Cricetulus griseus: one gene and its partner. The protein of the gene in region 2 purifies or fractionates together with the protein of the main gene of each other region. This does not show direct contact. Links are inferred from orthologs where the notes say so. Each region holds a gene or a part of one and is shown on either strand. Other genes may lie near its edges. The genes, in order: Cul5 and Spsb4.

Region 1 (4,530 bases), about 40 Mb from region 2:
CCTGCCTCTGCCTCCCCACGTGCTAGAATTAAAGGTGTGTACCATCCACCACCGATGGGATGATTACTACTTTTCAATATGTATTCAGAATTCAACCTTCCAACAAAAGGAGAAAAAGTTCCAAAAAAACCTCAAAGAGGTGAATATGTGGCAACTGAGGTGCAGATAACAGAATCAAATGTCTGTTTGTTATGTCCATCATACTGTAAATTCCATCTTAAACTATAAGCCAGACCTGGTGGTGTACATCTTTCTAATCTATCTATACAGGAAATACCAAGACCAACCAGAACTATAAAGAAATAAAAAATAAATCACATACTAAATAATATTCATTTCCAAAATTTGCTTTTTCCCATGGTTATTATTTCACAAGACAAGGTCATCAAAAACTCTGCAGTGTGTTTGACATCTGACTTCAGACTCTTATCTTTTATTTATTTTTTCTTTTTTGTTTTAAAGACAGGATCTGACAATAGCCCTGGCTGGCCTGGAATTCAGACATCAAGCCTGCCTCTACTTTAAGAATGTTGTTGGGATTAAGCTGAGCAGTGGTGGCTTTAATCCCAGCACTCGGGAGGCAGACAGCCAAGGCCAGCCTGGTCTACAGAGTGAATTCCAGGACAGGCTCCAAAGCTACAGAGAAACCCTGTCCCGAAAAAACAAAAACAAAAAACAAACAAACAAATGAAATGTTAAAAAGAATTTTGCTACAGTATTATGAAAAACAAAGCAGAGTAGAGTCAGTAATATCATTTCTGTGAATTAGTCTATATATAATGTAGTCTGAGCTGGTTCCAAATTCACTACTACTAGTTTAGGCTAGAATTCATGATCCTCCTGCCTCAGTGACCTTCATATTGGTAATGACCTGCAACCCCAGGCCCAGTTTTACCTGTTTTTCTTTCTTCTTTTTTTTTTTCTTTTTTCTTTTTAGTTTATTTCTTCTTGTTAGCTGTTTTTCAAGACAGGGTAACAACTTGTCTGTATTAACAGCCCTGGTTGTCCTGGAACTTGTTTTTGTAGACCAGGCTGGCCTCCACCTGCTCTGCCTCTCAAGTGCTGTGATTAAAAGTGTGTGTTGCCACTGCCCAATGGTTTTCCTATAGGAATAGGCACAGAAGTTCTAGTGCTTTAGTGAATTGCATATTAAGTGCAATCACTGTTTTTAAAGCATCATAAGTAAATCATTTGATCACAACAGGGCTATGAAAAATGGTACTGATAATTTCATCTTCCTGAAGGAAGAAGCTTGGGCAGAGGTTAAGGAACTCAATACCATGAAGCTCTTAAGAGACAGAAATTCAGATGGGTGTGGTGGCACATGGCTTTTATTCCATCACTGGGGAAGAGGGTGGCAGACAAGCAGATCACTGAGTTCAAAGCCACACTGCTCTACAGAGCTAGTTCAAGGACAGCCAAGGCTACCTGAGAAATCCTGTCTTAAAAAACAAAACAAAACAAACAAAGAAAAAAACAAGAGACAAATTCAGGGAATCTAGGTCCTTTTAAAGGACTCTCCAGGGTGGTGATGCAAGTCTTCAATCTCAGCACAGACAGAGGCAGTTCTGTGAGTTTGAGGCCTGCTGAGTTATACAGCAAATTCTGGCAAGATGGGGCTAAAGAGACCCTGCTTTTTTTTGGGGGGGGGGAGGGCACATTCTCTATTTCATTATTATTATTCATCCACAGAGCCTGAATACAGTGTTTATTTTCCCTCAGGTAATCACTACCCCCATTTCAGTCAATACTTTTAGGACAGGACTCTTAACTAAAAACACAAATAGCTCAAACCTGCCCCATATCTTCCTCAGTCCTTACCTAAGTTTTTAACAGAATTTGCCCCCCATCCCCCAACCCCGGGCCTTTCTTGACACTTAAAAACTTCCCAATGTCTTCTTTGATAAGAAAAACTTTCCCACCAGCTAAAAAGACGGTGGCACTTCATCGGGTGTCACCTGATGTCCTCTAAGGGGAGTCGAGGCTTGGGAGAGACAGTTCCTCGAGGAACAAAAAGCATGGGAACATGAAGTCAAGAACAAGAGAACTGGAGGGAAGATGTAACATGCAGAAAAGGGAGAAACGGGGCGGAGTGGGAGGCACTGCTATCTGACTCGCATTTCCTGGAGGCAGAGTGAGAACAGAAATTAAGGAACCGGGGAGGAAGCGGGGGGGGGGGGGTCCTAGTCAAAACCTGCTAGGCAGCATTTTGTCGAGAATTTTCCTATTATGTCTTTGACTCTCGCTTCGGAAGAAACGGACCCTAAGAGTCACAATGGCTGGGCCGCCCGCCGGGGGCCCAGCGACACTGCTGTCGCCCGCAGCCTGGGTTGGTCCCTTGAAAGCATCCCTCCCAGTCAGTCAGTCAGTCAGTCAGTCAGTCAGTCAGTCAGCGGGAGCAACCACCGAAGCCTCTGGACCCCGAGGCCAGGGCCCGGCGTCGGGGTATTCGGGGCAGCCGTCCCGGGTCCCTTCCGGTGGACAAGCCTGAGACACTCTCACATCTCGCCGCTCACTCGGAGCCCGGTGCTCACCCAGGAACTAAACGCGTCGGCCGCGAGCAGAAACCCGGCTGGAGACAGGGGCTTACCTTTAACAGATTAGATGTCGCCATGTTCCTTCAACTTGGACTCTCGCGAGAGGCGGCGGCGAGAATTGGCGGCGCTCGGGGCCAGGCCTCCTCGGGAGGCCGGAGTTCCCAGCAGGGCCCCGCGGGCCGCGGCAGAGATGCGGGGGGCGGAAGGGGGAAGGGGGGCCACACACGCCGAAGCTGCGTGCCGTCAGCGCTGAGCTCGTACCCGGCACCCGTGCTCCCTCAGGCTTTCCCGCTACATGGTAACCGGGGCCTGCTCACGCGAGAGAGCGCATGCAAAGGCTCAAGGAGACGCGAGCGGCGAATGGTGGCAAGGGACCGGGAGCCGACCTGACCGGGAAAAGGTAGCATCTACCTCCCCGGGCCTGCCACACTCGTCTCCGGGTGAGCCTCTCGGGTTGCACTCGCGGCGGCCGCCGGCAACGACTTTTAACTCGGCTTAGGCCCGGCTCCTTGGGTTCCGTGGTGGCGTCACGTGACGCTGCGGGCGGGGGCGTGCTTGGGAGCAACCGAGGAGCCTGCAAGCCGCTGGGTCCGGAGGCAGGGAGCAGGGCGGAGCGCGCCCCCTATTGGCTGGAGCCGGCGCCGCCCCACCCGCTCGCCGCCCCAGATCCGGGGACTGCGATTCATTCGCAGCTCTGGATGAGATTAGCCAGGAAAGGGTTTTTTTTTTTTTTTTTTTTTTTACTGCTGTCCTCTGTAAAGACTGACTCGGGGAAAAGGCGCCCAGTCAAGATTTACTCGTTTAGTAAATGGATGTACGAACGTGTTAACTAGCATCACTCTGCTCAAAAATGCCCGGCTTGTTCAAGAAGTGTTTATTAATCTCGGACTCCTTCAAACATATCCTAGGGGCTGGAGAGAGATGGCTCAGAGGTTAAGAGCACTGACTGCTCTTCCGGAGGTCCTGAGATCAATTCCCAGCAACCGCATGGTGGCTCACAACCATCTACAATTCAATCTGGTGCCCTCTCCTGGCTTGTAGATAGAACAGTATATATGTAATAAATCTTAAAAACAAACAAAAAACTCTTTTAAAAAAATCCTAGACCTAGAGCATCCTATACTATTTTCTCCAAACTGTGTCTCTTCAAATCACGAATCTCTAAACAAGAGAATAGAGTTTATATAGGGATCTCACAGGTTGGCTGTTATTGCATTATGCAAATTCCTAACATTTGGTTAGGGGGTTGGGGATGTTTTGTTTGTTTAGGGTGAGTTTATTTATTTTTGGTTTTTAGAACTAGGTTTTCTCAGTGTAGCTTTGGAGCCTGTCCTGGCACTCCTCTGTAGACTTTGCTGGCCTTTAACTCACAGAGCTCTCCTTGCCTCTGCCTCCCGAGAGCTGGGACCAAAGGCGAGCATCACTACCACCACACTAACAGCATTCTTTTGTACCTTTATAAAGGTGTTCATGAAGACATCTATCGCTCCCTGGCTACATTGCCTTAAGATAGACAGGTCACTTGAACCTTGAACTAGGCTAGTGGCCAGCAAGCTCCATGGACCCTTGAATTTTATTTATTTATTTCATTTATTTATTTTTGGTTTTTTGAGACAGAGTTTCACTGTGTAACAGCTCTGACTGTCCTGGAACTTTCCTTGTAGACCAGGCTGGCCTCAAACTCACAGAGATCAAACTGACTCTGCCGCCCTGCAAAATTTATATATTATATATTATATATTTTTAAATTACATATTTGCCAGGCCTGGTGGGTAAGACCTGTAAGCTTACAGGAGGCTAAGGCAGGAGGATTGCAGGTTCGATGCCCTTCTGCTACAAAGATGAATTCTAAATCATCTGGGAGTGGGGCGAGTCAGGGGGAAAGAGAGAGTGTGTGTGTGTGTGTGTGTGAGTGTGTGTGTCTAAGAGCTTGCCTAGCATTTGTGGGGCAATAAGTCATTTATAAAATGTACCATCTGGAATACTTTAAAAT
Region 2 (3,809 bases):
CCCCTCCTGGCTTAGGCTTAAGAAGGTATATGGTCCCCATGACAAGAAAAGTCTAACAGCAGAAGGAGGAGGCAGCTGGTCACATGACATTTATAGTCAAGCAGCAGAGCACTGACATAAAGTGAAGCCAGGCTATAGAAACTCAAGATCCACCCCCTCCATGATTAGCTTCCTCCCATAAGGTTCCATTTCCTGAGGGGGAACAGTGTTCAAATATATGAGCCTATGAGGGACATTTCATGTTTAAACCACAATAGCTGGTATGAGTGAGCAAGCCCAATAAAGTGCTGGGATTGAGTTGGGTCATGTAGCTATGTGTGCCTTTCCTGGAAGCTACACTTCCTGTCCCTGCCTCTGCCTCCCGAGTGCTGGGAATAAAAGCTGCACCGCCGCCACTACCTGACATTACTGTGACCTTTAAACCACCTCATAGGTTATGCATTTTAAATAAAGGAAGACCTCATGTTGCTAGGGTGAAACCCAGCAACGGAGGATTTTCACTCCAACCACACAGTCTTTAGCAGCTGCTGGGACACTTCCCAGTATCTAGATTTCTGGTTGTCTGGAAAAATGGCAGAATTCCATAGTACAGGGCTTCTTTCCACAGGCTACAGTCAGCTGGAGGTGAGAGTAGTTTACCTCCTTTGACAGCTGCCAGGAGGAGCTGGGATTTGGGTGTTTGGACCTGCATACAGTAGGTGGCAACAAATGACAGTTGCTAACACTACTTCTTGTTTAATAGCTAGACTTCCACCCAGGGACTGGGCATGAGTGATGCTCTCCAGCTTGGGTCATTTCATAAGTCTCTTTAGCATCCACAGCCCTTATCAAGTGCATTTACTGTTCTAAGTACACATATGATCCTAGATGACCCTCCTGAGTGCCCTGAGTTGGAGTATGCCATGTGACCCTCCTGAGTGCCCCGGGTTAGATTATGACCACCGTGCCACTTGCACAGCCTCCAAACTGCCTAGCCGTCAACGAGGTCAGAGTTCAAGGGCCCTGACCACTGCTGAAAACGGCGGGATTCCCCAACTGCTGCTCTACCTGCTCTGCTTCCCCCCTCCCTAGCCTCCTGGGGCAGGGAGCCTCAGCACCCCTTGCCATCTAGGTCAGCAAACTTACGGTCAAGGCCATTGATGTAGCGCATGGTGACTTCACAGTGGCCCCACACAGCACTCACGACCGGGTACAGTTTCTTGCCCTTGAGGCCACGGAAGGCCACGCCCAGGTACTGGCCATCCACGATGAAGCTGAGCGTGCCCTCGTCCATGTCCAGCACGACCAATAAGGAATCTGGCAGAGCAAAGGCCTCATCTGGCCCCAGGAAAGCAGGGTATGCTACCCCAGGACGGTTCTTGCCATCGTGGTAGAGGCGGCTGCGGCCCAAGTCCCAGCCCCATGACTCGGAGTCGCTGCCCACCAGTGCGGTGTAACCCACTGAGTGCAAAGGGGCACGGGCCGTGGCCACGCCCACCACAGCATGGGTGCCCCGCTGCCTAGCTGGCCAGTGGATCTGCCATGCGTGCAGGCCCCGGGCATGGCCCACTTTGCCGCGGATGCCATCCGTGCTCTGGGCCACCGGGTGGCGGTGGAAGGTGAGGCGGTCGTCATCCTTGACGAAGACATTGAGCGAGCGGTCCTCGGGGTTCCACGCGTGTCTCAGCTGCACAGCCAGCCCTGCCGCAGGCATGTCCAGCAGCTGGTCTAGCCGTGCTGGCCGCCCGGGCTCTGAGCCTCGAAGCTCCCGCTTGGCTGGCCGTAGTGATGGCTCTCGTACCTCCACGGACTTGAGGCTCCCAGAGAGCTTCTGACCCATGGCTCACTATGGGGAGGGGACCGCTGCGGGCCACTGCTACCTCGCAGGAGCCTCCACTCCCCGCAGCCAGGGATGGACCCCGGGGCTGGGAACCAGGCTTCCTGATGGTTGATCTACACAGCCTCTGCTGGGCTGTGGCAGGGGCCCAAGCTCCTGGAAGGAAGCAAAGGGCACAGGTTATGATAGAAGCATGGACAGCCAGCTACTCATCCCTTCACTTATGCCCTGGCCCTACTACATAACTAATGTGCATAATAATTAATGATACTTCATATCTAGTACTTTCTAAGTATATGAGATATGGCAGACACTGTCCTCAATGATTAAGGTTTCCCCATTCATCTAAATCTTACAGAGGTCAGTGACTAGCCAGTCTCACAGGTAATAAGTGACTGAGCCACCAGTCAAACCAAGGTCCTTTGCTCTCAGGTTCTGTTCTCTGGCACCAGAACAACCACCACTGGAAATCACTGTCTCAAGAAGAACTGAACCCCCAGAAAATGGAGTGCTGAGACACAGGGTTATACACATTTAGCATGTGACTCATGAGTTTAGGCTCCAGTTGTCTGGAGCTTAAAAAAATATCTTAAAACCTCCCCAAACCAGGTTTGTAAGACACAGAGCAAGTATCCAGCAGGGTCACCCAGGGACAAGGATTCCAGAAACTATTTGAGGATGGTGTGTTGTCGCCACGGGAAAATAAATGGCAACGAAAGAGGAAAAGAGCTGGTAAATCCAAACTGTGCGGCCAAAGAGCACTGGTACAAATCCTTCTCTATTTAAAGCTTCTCCTTGACTTTACTTTCCTCCTCTGTAAGATGGGATAAAACACCTCCCTTCATGTGGTCTGAAACTTGAAAGATAATATGATAAAAGCTCAGATCTGGAATCCTGGAAGCAGGTGTCCTTTTGGCTTTGTTCTTCAGAGATCCCACAGGGAATTATTTCTCTTGGATACACCAGTGTTTTCCCTGGGTATAGAAATATCATTGATAACATTTATCCTAGTTAACATTCCTTAATACATTTTTCCAGGAGAAGTGACCACAGAAAGGTCATTGAGGCTCCAGGAATCTTGGGGTGCCTGGATGGCCCTAATTATGGGAAGAGGAAGGTAGAGCTTTGCCCTACCTGACTCCCATGGCAGGCAGAGGACCGGTATGTGCCTTCTTCTTCCCTAGCTTGGGAGCAGCGTGGCTCAAGACAACTTTCCCAAGACAAATGAGAAGATAGGATGCTGCCATGCTTTGTCTTGCCTACCCATGATTTCCTATTGGTGATGGTTCATCTTCACTGTCAATTTAAGAAGCACCTATGAGATTAGTAAAGCTCACCTCTAGGTGTATCTATCAGGACATTTCCAGAAAGAGTTAAACAAGAGTGGAATGCCCACCCTTAGGCTGTCGATTCAGATAGAATAAAAGGGGGAGAAGAGAAAGCTCCCTACTGTAGGCATTTTCTCTCCCCTACCTTCCTGACTACCATCGCCATGATGTAGGTTGCTGTGCTGGGCCATGCCCTCTTTGCTATGATAATCAGAAACCTCTGCAATTTCAAGGAAAGGAAATCCTTTCTTCTCTAGGGCATTCTGTCAGGCATTTTGTCATAGCACAAAAGGCTGCCAGACACAGAAAGCTGACACTGAGATACACAGCTGGTGTGGTGACTATACCTGACCACGAGGTATAGAAGCTCCTGGAAGTAATTTGTTAGAAGAATTCAGAAAGTTTGGAGAAGGCAGCCGTAGAAATCCTACAACGCTGTTAGCACAGCTTCCCTGGTGATTCTGAGACCTAAGGAGACCAGGATGCCGAAGGGAATGCCAAAAGCAGTAAGACATCTTATCCAGTTCCAGCAGAAACAATGTCTCATGGGAACTGAACCCCGGGCCACTTGAGTTACTCTCTGGCAAAGAAGCTATGCATATTTTGTCTGTGTCCTGAGACTTCACAGAGGCCGAATTTAAAGGTGAAGAATGAATTAATTTGGG

Evidence for each region.
Region 1: the proteins of Spsb4 (region 2) and Cul5 purify together in Homo sapiens (co-immunoprecipitation; 4 studies listed by BioGRID and IntAct, counting the BioPlex papers as one, with this or other methods). This does not show direct contact. The link is inferred for Cricetulus griseus from reciprocal best matches to the Homo sapiens genes SPSB4 and CUL5.

Annotation. Positions count from the first base shown.
Region 1 is NC_048597.1:165,392,162-165,396,691, forward strand, and holds the start of Cul5 (cullin-5), read right to left. Parts: upstream 3,091-4,530; 5' UTR 2,615-3,090; coding exon 2,591-2,614; intron 1-2,590. UniProt on the Homo sapiens protein: Core component of multiple cullin-5-RING E3 ubiquitin-protein ligase complexes (ECS complexes, also named CRL5 complexes), which mediate the ubiquitination and subsequent proteasomal degradation of target proteins.
Region 2 is NC_048597.1:205,571,218-205,575,026, forward strand, and holds part of Spsb4 (SPRY domain-containing SOCS box protein 4), read right to left. Parts: intron 1,973-3,809; 5' UTR 1,820-1,972; coding exon 1,126-1,819; intron 1-1,125. UniProt on the Homo sapiens protein: Substrate recognition component of a SCF-like ECS (Elongin BC-CUL2/5-SOCS-box protein) E3 ubiquitin-protein ligase complex which mediates the ubiquitination and subsequent proteasomal degradation of target proteins.